Drosophila melanogaster: one gene and its partner. Changing the gene in region 1 together with any one later gene gives a genetic interaction. Each region holds a gene or a part of one and is shown on either strand. Other genes may lie near its edges. The genes, in order: SoxN and wor.

Evidence for each region.
Region 2: of SoxN (region 1) and wor, changing one enhances a phenotype caused by changing the other (phenotypic enhancement), as found in Drosophila melanogaster (one study listed by BioGRID).

What each region holds. Positions count from the first base shown.
Region 1 is NT_033779.5:8,823,792-8,830,286, reverse strand, and holds SoxN (SoxNeuro), read right to left. Parts: upstream 4,643-6,495; 5' UTR 3,794-4,642; coding exon 2,075-3,793; coding exon of another isoform or gene 1,508-2,074; 3' UTR 617-1,507; downstream 1-616.
Region 2 is NT_033779.5:15,422,640-15,427,502, forward strand, and holds wor (worniu), read right to left. Parts: upstream 2,942-4,863; 5' UTR 2,792-2,941; coding exon 2,704-2,791; intron 2,642-2,703; coding exon 1,083-2,641; 3' UTR 658-1,082; downstream 1-657.

The DNA of each region.
Region 1 (6,495 bases):
ATTGGACAATCTGGGTCTGGTGAGCGGCTCTGAAAATATGGCATATGATATATATCGCATTATCAAAATTCCTAATAATTGTATTTCAACCTTGATGCATGATCGGTGGAATTAGTTTGGACGGTGTTGGCTACAAAGCGTCGCCTTCCGGTCACGAAAATTGCAGTTACTCATTGACAAAATGCACTTAAATAAATATTGAAATGCCAGATTGCAGCATGCGATTCACATGAAGTTCCCAAATAATTGCCATGGCTGGATTTTATAAATGTAGATGGCATACCATTTTTATGGGAATCTCATCTCATGTTTTGTTCTAATTTGTCAGGGTTTGTTTAATGACATTTTTATTTATGTTGACAATGCGTGAATTTCATTTGATTTTTACTACTCTAATCGCTTTTGTCTAAGGAATTACGCATCCCACTTAAAAATGGGGGGAGCTATAAAATCCAAACTGGAATTTAAGCCATCTGACACATTGCTGAACCTGCATATCGATTCGGTATGCAAAATTCACGGATCCTCCCATTTTGCCGACGGCAAATAGTAAAAATGTAGCGAGATGTTTTTGTAAAGATTTTTCTTTTATTTGTTTTTTTTTCGTGGATTTTTTGTGGATTTTGTTTTTATTATTTCCAGGTGCTTGGCAATGTTTTGTTGGATTTGTTTGTTTTCGCTGCCTTGCGCCATGTTTCACAATCACGTTTGCACGCTGCTTCTTGGTTTGTTTTTACTAAATTTGCTTTAGGTTTACTAACATTTTCTCTGGTTGTGTTTGTATTATGCAGTAGATGCTTGCCTTCGATTCGATTTATGTTTTAATAATAATAATAATTTTGTTTTCGCTTTATTACAATTAATTATGGTTGTCTTGTCTGGTATTTGTAAGCATAATTAATAATTAAATTGTTTATATAATAGATAATAATTATAATTACTTAATGCATAAGAGAATTTATAAAATAGAATGTTTTTTGACATTTTTCTTTGCTTTTCTGAAATATTTTCATCGCCTCGCCACAACTGCCTTTACTCCTACTAAACTTGTGCTTGATTCCGCGTCCCGTTGCTCCCTTCAATTGAACGCACATTTAATGTCTGAGAATGTTTTGTACAGCAAAAGGTGAGTGGAAATGAAATGCTAAACCAAACGAATTTGTTGTTGTTGCCGTTGTCCCCGTAATTGGCAACAGTTTATTTGTATCACACAATTGTTTTAGCTATGCAACAAGCGGGAAATCAAGGGAAATCGAAGCAGAACGGTATGGAATGCAAGTGAGTTGTCATCTTACTATTGTGGTACAACAGTGCGTATGCATCATTTAAATGACTAAACATTAATCCTATTCTCATTTATTTATATGCGCATGTGTTACTCTGCCACTTCGAAATTCGAATTAAACCTGCTTAAGAACTAAGGCTAAAATTGTGTCTGTGTGTGTGTGGCTGTGGTTGTGGGCGTGGGTGTGCGTATCCTAGGGCTTTAGTTAATATTTTCAATAATTTACAATGTGGATATATCCAGGAGGCCAGCACTGGCAGCCACCGCTGCCTCGTGGCCAGGATGATAGTGATGGTACAGCTGGTGTTGCTGCTGCTGCGGGAGGTGCTGCAGCTGCTGCTGTTGCTGCTGCTGCTGCTGGTAGTGTTGCTGTTGCTGCTGCTGGTAGTGCAGGTGGTGGTGCTGCTGCTGCTCCTCGAGATGCTGCTGTTGCATGTCCAGCATGCTGGCCGAGGCGGCAAAGGAGCTGCCTGCAGCCGCAGCAGCAGCAACGGCAGCAGCAGTTGCCGCCGCAGCAGCAGCCGAAGTGGCGGAGGAGGTGGCAGCGGAGGGGGTCAGCTGGTAGGCGGCTGCCAAGGCGGGTGAATGCGCGGCGGTATGGCCACTGGAATGCGCCGAGGAGCGGCCGCCCGACGACCCCGATGCCGTCGGACTAGGCCGTCCGTTGAGCAACTGTTGCTGCTGTTGTTGCTGCTGCTGCTGTTGCTGCGGGGCCGTCGGCATGTACGGCGGCAGTGGAGGCGAAACGCTCACACTGGAGCCTGCTGCTCCATAGGCGCTGGCCATTTCTCACATGTGTGCCAGCGGCGCCATCGCCCTCAGCGATTGCTGATGCTGCAGGTGGTGTTGCTGCTGCTGCTGCTGCATGGTATGGTGTTGCTGCGGGATCTGTTGGTGCTGCTGCGAAAGGTGTTGCTGCGGGAGGTGCTGCTGCTGCTGTTGCATCGACTGGTGCTGCTGCTGCAGATCGGGCGAGTCAGTCTGATAGTGCAGCAGGTGGCGCTGCTCATCCGGCAGATGGTACATATTCATCAGGTGATTCAGCTCGCCGCCGCCGGCGGCTGCTGCCGCTGCTGCTGCTGCTGCTGCCGCCGCTGCAGAGCTGTATTCCCGCTTCATGATGTGATTGTTGTTGATGTTGTTGTTGTTGTTGAGCGCTATGGCACTGGGACTGGGCGACACCGGTTCGGACTTGATGCTCGAGTCGCTGGGGCTGTGGCTCTGGCAGGAAACCTGACCGCCACCGCCTCCACCTCCGCCGTACGGAGTCGGACTGCCGGGCTGCTGCTGCAAGCTACTGCCGCCATACGGCGACGGTGATCCGGGCTGCTGGAGACTGCTGCCGTACGGCGATGTCTGTCCGCCGGACACCGTCTGGTACATCGCATACCCGTTGTTGTACATGTGTCCCATGTCGTACCGCTGCGCCGCGTAGTGCTGGCCCATGTAGGAGGTCTGATAGGCTGCCGCTCCGGCCGGATCTGCGTGCATCATGTAGCCATTGGGCATGTATCCATTGGGCGCGTTCATCTGGTACATATCCTGGCGCGCCTGTTGCGCTGCCGCTGCTGCCGCCGCCGCTGCCGCTGCTGCACTGCCTCCACTACCGTTTAGCGACTGGTTCTGGCCAGGCTGACCTTGCACCCGCGTGGGCGTCACCGGCTCACCCGGTGCTCCGCCGCCCACCGTCTGTCCGGGCATCAGGCCGCCCATTGGGTACTTCTCCTTGGTCTTGGTCAGCGTTTTAGTCTTGCGGCGCGGCCGGTACTTGTAGTCCGGATGCTCCTTCATGTGCACCGCCCTCAGGCGCTTGGCCTCGTCGATGAACGGTCGCTTCTCCGATTCCGAGAGGTCCTTCCACTGGGCGCCCAGTCGCTTCGAGATCTCCGAGTTGTGCATCTTGGGGTTGTCCGAGGCCATCTTCCTCCGCTGGCCCCGTGACCAAACCATGAACGCATTCATAGGCCGCTTCACACGATCCGCGTGCTGTTGGTTCTTGTTGGCCGTGGCGCTGTTGTTGTTGTTGTTGCTGGATCCTCCAGTTAGGCTGCTCAATGCAGATCCCGCGCCCAGATGCTGCTGCTGCCCGTGCTGCTGCTGTTGCGTGTGCTGCTGGTGGCTGACCGGCGATGTCATGTGATGGCTTCCGATGCTGCTCTGGGTGGGACTCAATTCGCTGGAGCTGTGCAGCGGGGAGCTCTGCTGCTGCTGCTGTTGCTGCTGCTGCTGCCCCACCTGGCTGCCATTGAGGGTGTTCGCCATCGAGGACTGCAGCGAGCTCAGCGGATTGGGACTCTGGCTGGCCGCGATATGGGCGCTCATGTGGTGATGATGGTGGTTGTGATGGCTCAGCTGCGAGTGGGTCAGGTGCGACTGGCCCAGGTTCATAAGGGGAGCTAGGGCGGAGTACGGCGATGCCGCATGTCCGTGCAACGCGGCACTTGTGTGATGCGGCGGCATGGTGGCATGCAGCAGGCTGCCTTTCATATCCGATTCCATGGTCAGCATCTTGCGGGGATTACTTCCAGTTTTCGGTGCGATAAAGCTGATTTGACTCAAAGTTGGTTCTCCGTGGATACTCGCCTCTAAGATGCAGTTACTCTTTAGCTTTAGTTTACTCTTTGCTTAGTTAGACATTTTGAACATTTTTTGGGAAACCATGTTGCACTTGTGATTTTTGAGATTTTGATTTTCGCTGCAGTTTTTATTTCGTAGTTTTTCGTATCTTTACGCGTATCAAAAATGTGGCGCTCGGCTATCTTTGGATTTGTAGCTAAACAGCTTGAATTGCGTTTTTTCCACAGTCACAAATATCAGATATACATATATGTTGTTTGCTAGCAAACAAACAAGAGGCGGCGTAAAACACTTGAAAATTGTTGCTAAAACCCGACGCGAAATTGCCTCAGAATATTGTTGTTGTTTGTATTAGATTTTGTTGTAAATATATTTGGTTTGGTTTGGTTGTTGTTTTTTTTTTTCGTATGCGAGAAGCGGGAACACCGAAAAAATACCTCCACACTGGGCGGAATTGAGCACCTTTCTGTTTCTCCGGACGACGGCGAAACCTGTTCGAGGTGCGTTCTACGCTGCTTTTTCCCTGGCTGTATGATGACTTTTTTTTCTTTCTTTCGTATCACCGCTTTTTGGCTAGCTGATGACGAGGCACGAACCAGAACCACCGATGCGATGCGATGCGAAACGATACGGATACGATACGACACGAAACCGAATTCGAGACAGCGAACAACCGAGTTGATGTTGCTGCGTGATGTTGCTGCTGATGGCGTGCTGCGACTGCCGTGCGGTACGTTGCGTGCGCGTGTGCTGACGACGGCGAATGCGAGAGTCGAATGAGAGACCGTCTGCCGCTGGCCGCTCGAGGAGGCGGTAAATGCGGTGCGGTCCGCCAGACAGGGTGGCTGGAAAAACTGGTCTTGAGTCGCGAGTAGCTGTGTGTGCGTCGCTGCTGTCCAAGTGTGCGTCGGCATTTCCATTGCCCGTCGCCTGTGCGGGAGCGAGATGAATATACGAGTGGCTGGCCTGCTAATAAATCAAATAAACTCGCTGCTGTGCATGTGTGCATCTGTGTGCGGTGAGCGCTGGCTGGGTTGGATTTTGCGCACACTGCTCCGCCAATCAGAGGACGGTGAGAGCGGTACGAATGTATCTTTATCTCGTTCCGTCACTATATCGATCCGCGTTGCGCTCAACGCTGCCATAAAAATGTCGTCTCTGCGTTTATGGCAAGCGCTGTTGCCGCTTTTCCGCTGCCGAAAGAGACTCTGAAGGAATTTCTCGTATAAATTTCGAGCTTTAAACATGGCCGAAACGCTATGGACGGGGGGAGCTGGAGCGGGCCATGGGTACTCTCAACCCAGTCCAGGGATCCAGGGACCCAGGGGCCTTAGTGTTTGCGGCGTTTTCGCCGTTAGAGCGCGTCTCACGCGCATAGTTTTTCCTGGTTTCCTTTTTTATTTTTTTTTTTGGCCCTGCTATATGTACATACAAAAAGATATATAATATAGATATATATATATATATATGTATGTATAGTCACTCTGCGTCTTACGCTGCGCTTCTTATTAACCTAATGGGTTTGCCAAGGTAGCTCACGAATAATTGTGTAGGCAGGCAGTCGGCAGATGGAAAAATTTATTAAGCAAGTGCAGCTGCAAATGTATCCTGCTCTCGCGGTAGTCGGCAGTTGTATCTCAGAACTTTGATGCGGTTTGGCTTACACGTATCACGTATCCGCCACATGAGCCAGCCCGTCCTACGGCATTGTCTTAGGGCACCATCTGCCCCACCACGACACCCCCCTTTAATTTACCACCCCGCGATGAATGCGTTTTTCCTCAGCTGACTCTGGTATTCCGTTTTTTGGGTTGCCCATGAGTAAATGTTGGGCTCTTTTTTTTTGTGCGACTTTTAGCAGTGCAAAGTGATTGGATTGCAGTTCTCAGCTGGTGAGAACTACTCACCAACTTGCAGTGCAGGTGGAAGTCGATTAATTGAAGATTTTTTGCACACTCGAAGAGCAAAACCAAGATTTATGGGCTTTTCTAAAAGTTATATTAATTATAAATTGTGTGTTAAATAAAAAAAATACCATTGTGGCTAAAATAAAACATACTTTTGCATCCGTAAACTACGAATAATATAGAAGACCATTTTTGTTCTTGAATAAATAAAATACAAATTATATGAAAAACTGCATTTCCTCGATAAATAATATATATACATTTTCTCCCTTTAAAGCACAATCAAAATTTCTTTTGTACAACTCCTTAAGCATCGTCTCCAAATTTCCTGCAAAGTCATCAAACACTTGAATCGAGCTACTAACCCATTAAAAATGTATAATGCAAACAAAGCCGATATGTGGGCTCGTCGGCTTAATGAATTTATGGCCAATTGCTAAACATTTGACAATGGAGCGAAAACACTGGGGCAAGCGGGCACAATAATAAAGGCAAGACCGGCAAACAATGCAAAACCTGCCCCAGTAACTGACCTACAACAACGCAACATCATAACATCAAAAACAACAAGAACGCAAATCTTAACCGCAAAAAGTTGGCCAAAGAAAAGGAATAAGTCAAAGTCGTTGTTGATTCTATGGGGGCTATTGTGTAATTTCAAATACAAAATGCAGAAAAAGAAATACAATTCTGTTCGGTTCATTATCAATGTACTTGGCCTGCCTG
Region 2 (4,863 bases), 6.6 Mb from region 1:
CAACCTGGCTGCCCACTAGCGCCATCTAGCTGCGTGCGGCTGCACCAAAAGCCGGCTTTGTTGATTTTTTCAGTTTGCCACGAACAGAAGAAAAAAAAAAACCGAAAACAAAATCGATGATTCATCGCTTGGTTTGTTGTTTTGAGTGGATTTCGCCAACTGCAGCAGGCCCACAAAAATACTAGACTGTTGGCGCTTGCCGCCTGCTGCTGTTGTTGATGTTGCTAGTTGCAGTGTTGCTGGTTGACGGTGACGCAGTCGCAGTTGCAGTTGCAATTGCAGCTGCGCCAATTCTCCTCTGGTTTGCCGTTTGCATTTCGGCGCTTTACGTTCAAAACAATTATTATTCTGGCAATTAATTTTGATTTAAGCAGCGATTTTCAATACATTTCTATACATACATATAAACGGCTTCATATGTATAGACTGCTTTCCTAGCTCTTTGTAACCCCCCATCGAGTCTCCCTGACGGTTGAATGTCTCGATTTCTGTGGATTTTCATTTCGAGTGCAGCGATAAATAAACGACACCTACAATGCATATCCGAGATGGCATCTTTTAGATTGCGATGCGATTCGAACCGTTCGTCCGATAGGTAAAGTAATAGAATGAGGGAAATTAATTTGTTTACCTCAACTCAAAAAAACTAAATGTGTTGGTGGTTTCTGTTTTCTTGTGTTTTATTTATTTAAAAAAATTAAAATTAAATACATGCAAGTAAATGGCTACCTTCACCATATTTACAAGGCTTAAATCATAATGTTTAAGGTAAAATAAATTATAAGATTAAATTATAAGTTGGTAGGTATGTCGTATGAATTGGGGCTTAATTATCTGGCACCTTTTTGATTTGTACACGAATGAGTTTTAACAACGAACTATAATACAAGGAATTGTCAACGAAAACAATCTAATGCTAAGCTCTCAACTGCGATATGAGTTTTGGAATAATTTAGCGATAACTCTAAATAAATATTTCTGATAAACTAGAGACCCTAAGAGGCAATAAAATTGCCCTGACTAATTTTTGGCACTGACTTTTCCCTGAATCTGACTTCTGACTTTGGCTAAACTGACTAAGATTAATAAATGGCCGGTGGTTGCATTTGGTATTCCCCGCCCTCCTCCTCTTCACCATTACTGCTGCCCACACTGCCGGCGTAGTAGAGTTGGTGTGGATTGTGTCCCTCCTCGTAGACCTGGAGGTGCTGCTGTAGCTGCTGCTGATCAAAGCCCCCTCCTGACCCACTGGGACCTCCACTCTGCTCAGTCTGGCAACCGCTTTGCAGGTGCTTGGCCAGCAGGGACATACGCGAGAAGGACTTGGTGCAGGTGGGGCACGAGTACTTCTTCACATCCGAATGGGTTTGCATGTGCGCGCGGAGATTTGACCTATCCGCGAAGGCCCGATTGCAGTGTTGGCAACTGAAGGGCTTCTCTCCCGTGTGGGTGCGTATGTGACCCTGGAGGAGCCATGGTCGCGAAAACGCCTTGCCGCAGATGGGACACTTGCAGGGCAGGGTATGCGTGCGAATGTGCATCTTCAGGGCGCCCAAGGACACATAGGTCTTGTCGCAGTTCTTGCAGCTGAAGACCTTCTTCACCTGATTGCCCTCGGCCGACGGACAATGGAACTGCTGGTGCTTAGAGAGTCCCGAGTAGGTGGAGTAGCTCTTTCCGCAATCCTGGCAATGGTATCGCGGCACTCCCACTGGCTTTTGCATGCTCTGTGCTGAGGCTACATTAGCTGCCTGAATCAAAGCCGAAGCTTGATCCGTGCAAAACTCGGTTTGGTCGACTATCGCACCTGATCCTCCAGGCTGGCTTCTAATGATCTTGTACTCGGTGCTTTCGTAGGCGTGCGTTTGTTGATGCTTTACCAATCCTGCATAGGTGGCATAGCACTTGTTGCACTGCTGGCACTGGTAGTACAGATCATTGCTGCTCTTGATCTTCAGCTGGTTGATGTCCTGATTCTCCTGATCCTCTTCCATGTCTATCGGAGGCGGCGCATGTTGCGGAGCCATGTGTTGCATGCTCAGCAAAGCTCTGGCCACATTCTGCAGATTCATGTTTTCGCTCAGCACTCTCCTCTGGGTTACGGATAGGTCCTCCGGTTCGGCCAGTGGAGTCGGGGGTGGATAGAACAACTGGGGTGATGGAATCGGAGGTATCTCCTCTTTGATGTTCTGCATTTTCATACAGTCCTCATACTCGGCTATGCTTTTGAGTAGGTTGTTATTGTAGTTTCGCAGGGGAAATTGTTCCTCATCAGAGGGTTCAGCCTTGATGATGGTTGGGCTAGCATCTCTTGTATATCGAAGAGGCAGATGCTGTTCTGGTTCCGGCTCCGGCTCCATTACTTCCTCCTCAGGTGGCAACTCGAACTCGCCGTAACCCAGGCGAGCAAGACTCTTGGCGATTTCCTCCCGGGTGAAGACATCCGGAAAAGCGCGGGCTATCTCACGGGTTTCCTCCCAAATGCGACGGGCCAACTGCTCCTTGGTCTGATTCATGGCTGCATCGAAGCGGCGCCTCAATTCCGTGGGCACCGGCTGAGGTTCCGGTTCGGATTTAGCCATCCAATGGGGCTCCATAGGCACTGCAGCCGAGGCCACACTCAAGTCCACTGGTCCTTCATCTGTTGAAATCAGCATAAAGTTAAAATATGCCTGTAAATCACTTCCGTAGCCTTAAACCTACCATGACTTAGGTGATCCTCTGGGCTGGACTCCTCCACCATTATCGGACGCTTCTTGAGCGGGCAGCGGCTGTACTTGAGTTTATCCATGGTTGCTATGTTATTATTCCTTATGGTTACTGATCACTGATCTTCGATTTTGTATTTAATACCGATCCTTGAACTTAAATCACTGCTCACTCATTTGCTTTCGCCACACGCGTCTCGATCGCTTGGAGTTCCTTGCTCGAATGATGCAACCCGGCAAGGATCAGTCCGGTTTTATAGACTCCCGATCAACCCCCTGGCAGGATGATCAACCCCCTGGGCAAAAAGGATCTTGGCGTCTACCTACTTCCGATGTCGCCCGGGATTCTGTAAATCCACCCCGAACCACGAGCCAAAAGATCCATTCAGCGATCGAGCCACAGCTGTGCGTTCATTGAACGCAGATACAGCTGCAGATCGGGCAGTCCGGGGGTACCACTGCCATATAGAGAATCGTTGAGAGAGGGAGGGACCTGGAGACGAGAGGAACAAATCTGTGTGTAAAAAGCGAGCACGTGCCACAGGGACTCTCTCCGTTCCACTCGCCGATCGCCACCAGCTGCCTCTCTGGTTCAGCTCGTATTTCCCCTGAATTTCAATGGTATGAGTGAGCGGCAGCTGGTGGCGAGCTTGCTATTGCTATATACCCGATCAAGTTTATTTATAAGCCTCTTTCGGGTCCGCCTCACACGATCGCTTTGTATATAAGCCTAATGGACGTTTGCTCTTCGTGAGCAGGTGAGCATGCTCTTTGGAGCCCCACCAAGAGAAGTTTCGTACCCCACAATTTTCAACTCTCTTCGCTCTTTGGGGCGCTCTTGTTCCAACTGTCAGTCGTCCCACGAACTTAAGAGATAGCTTTCTGTGCTATTCGGAGGATAATTCAGCTGTGTTTTCTTAAGCTTCTTATTATGTTTACTATTCAAATTTTTCTGAGCTGAGCTTAAACGATCACATATTCGGCTGACTTTGCTGATCGGAGAGTGTGAAGATTTTTCAGGGGCTCGACTTAGGAAATTATGCCCAAATATTTAAATACCATAATAATTAAAACGTTCTCAATTAAAATCATTAAGATAGAAGATATTACAATAAAGGTACAGGAAAGTTGTTCTATTTTCTCTTTCAAAGCTTTTCATTTGTTGTATAAAATCGCACGCTGTTACAGAAGAAAAGAAGCACTTAGGATTCCAATTGATCCTTATCGGAGCGATCCTCTCCGGCTGGCAGCTGAGTAGGATCAGCACGTGACATTGGCTCCGCCATTAAATCGAGCCAAGCTACAATGCAATGTACCCACTTAGACGTCCACAAAAATATTAATCACCAGGACAAACAGCGCGCAGATCTAAGGTAAATCAACCTTTCCCAGAGTATTGTTCCGGTTCTCCGCCTCCTCGTGTATCGGTGCACTCGGCAGAAATAACCCCCTAACGGCCATGAAATTTCAATTCCCGATATTAAAGAATCCCGCCATCTGCCAGCGACCTCCAATCCACCCCAAAATGGGCATGTGCCCGGACAGTTACCTGGCTTTATTTTTCCGAACGGAGCTGAGTGCCTTGGAATGCGCCAAAAGAGAGAGGTTCGTGCAAATCTACCTGGCGCAGTGGTCCCACCCCAAAATCCACGGCATCACCAGACAACCTTCGTCGGAATAAAGCCGGTGATGGTGGTGGAATTGCAGTTTTGGACGTTACTTTCTAGCCAACCCCTCGTCGAGCGTCTTGCAAGGAGAGTCGCACCCCCCGATCATCATCTATTCCCACATCTGCCGACTGTGACACGTACCACAAGGAACTGATTTCGTCTTGGAACTGATTATTCCATGCCACGGGTATTTGGCGCCAAAATCCTGTAACGAACTCAGCTGGCCGGGATGTGTTGTGATCCTTGTAACAATAGGAAATGTTCTCTGATGGTACATTGAAAAGTGATTTTTGAATTATAATTAACTGGAATTGAGAAACTATTAATCGGTCTTTGATGCTTCGTTGGCTCATCTTTTATAATGAAATTTTAATTCAGGGTAAGCAAATTATGCCTTCAATACTCTAAGATCAAAAAATCTGATACTGATCTTTTATGAAGTGTTTAAGATTCAAAAAACCTTTAGAGATTGCCATAATTAGAGT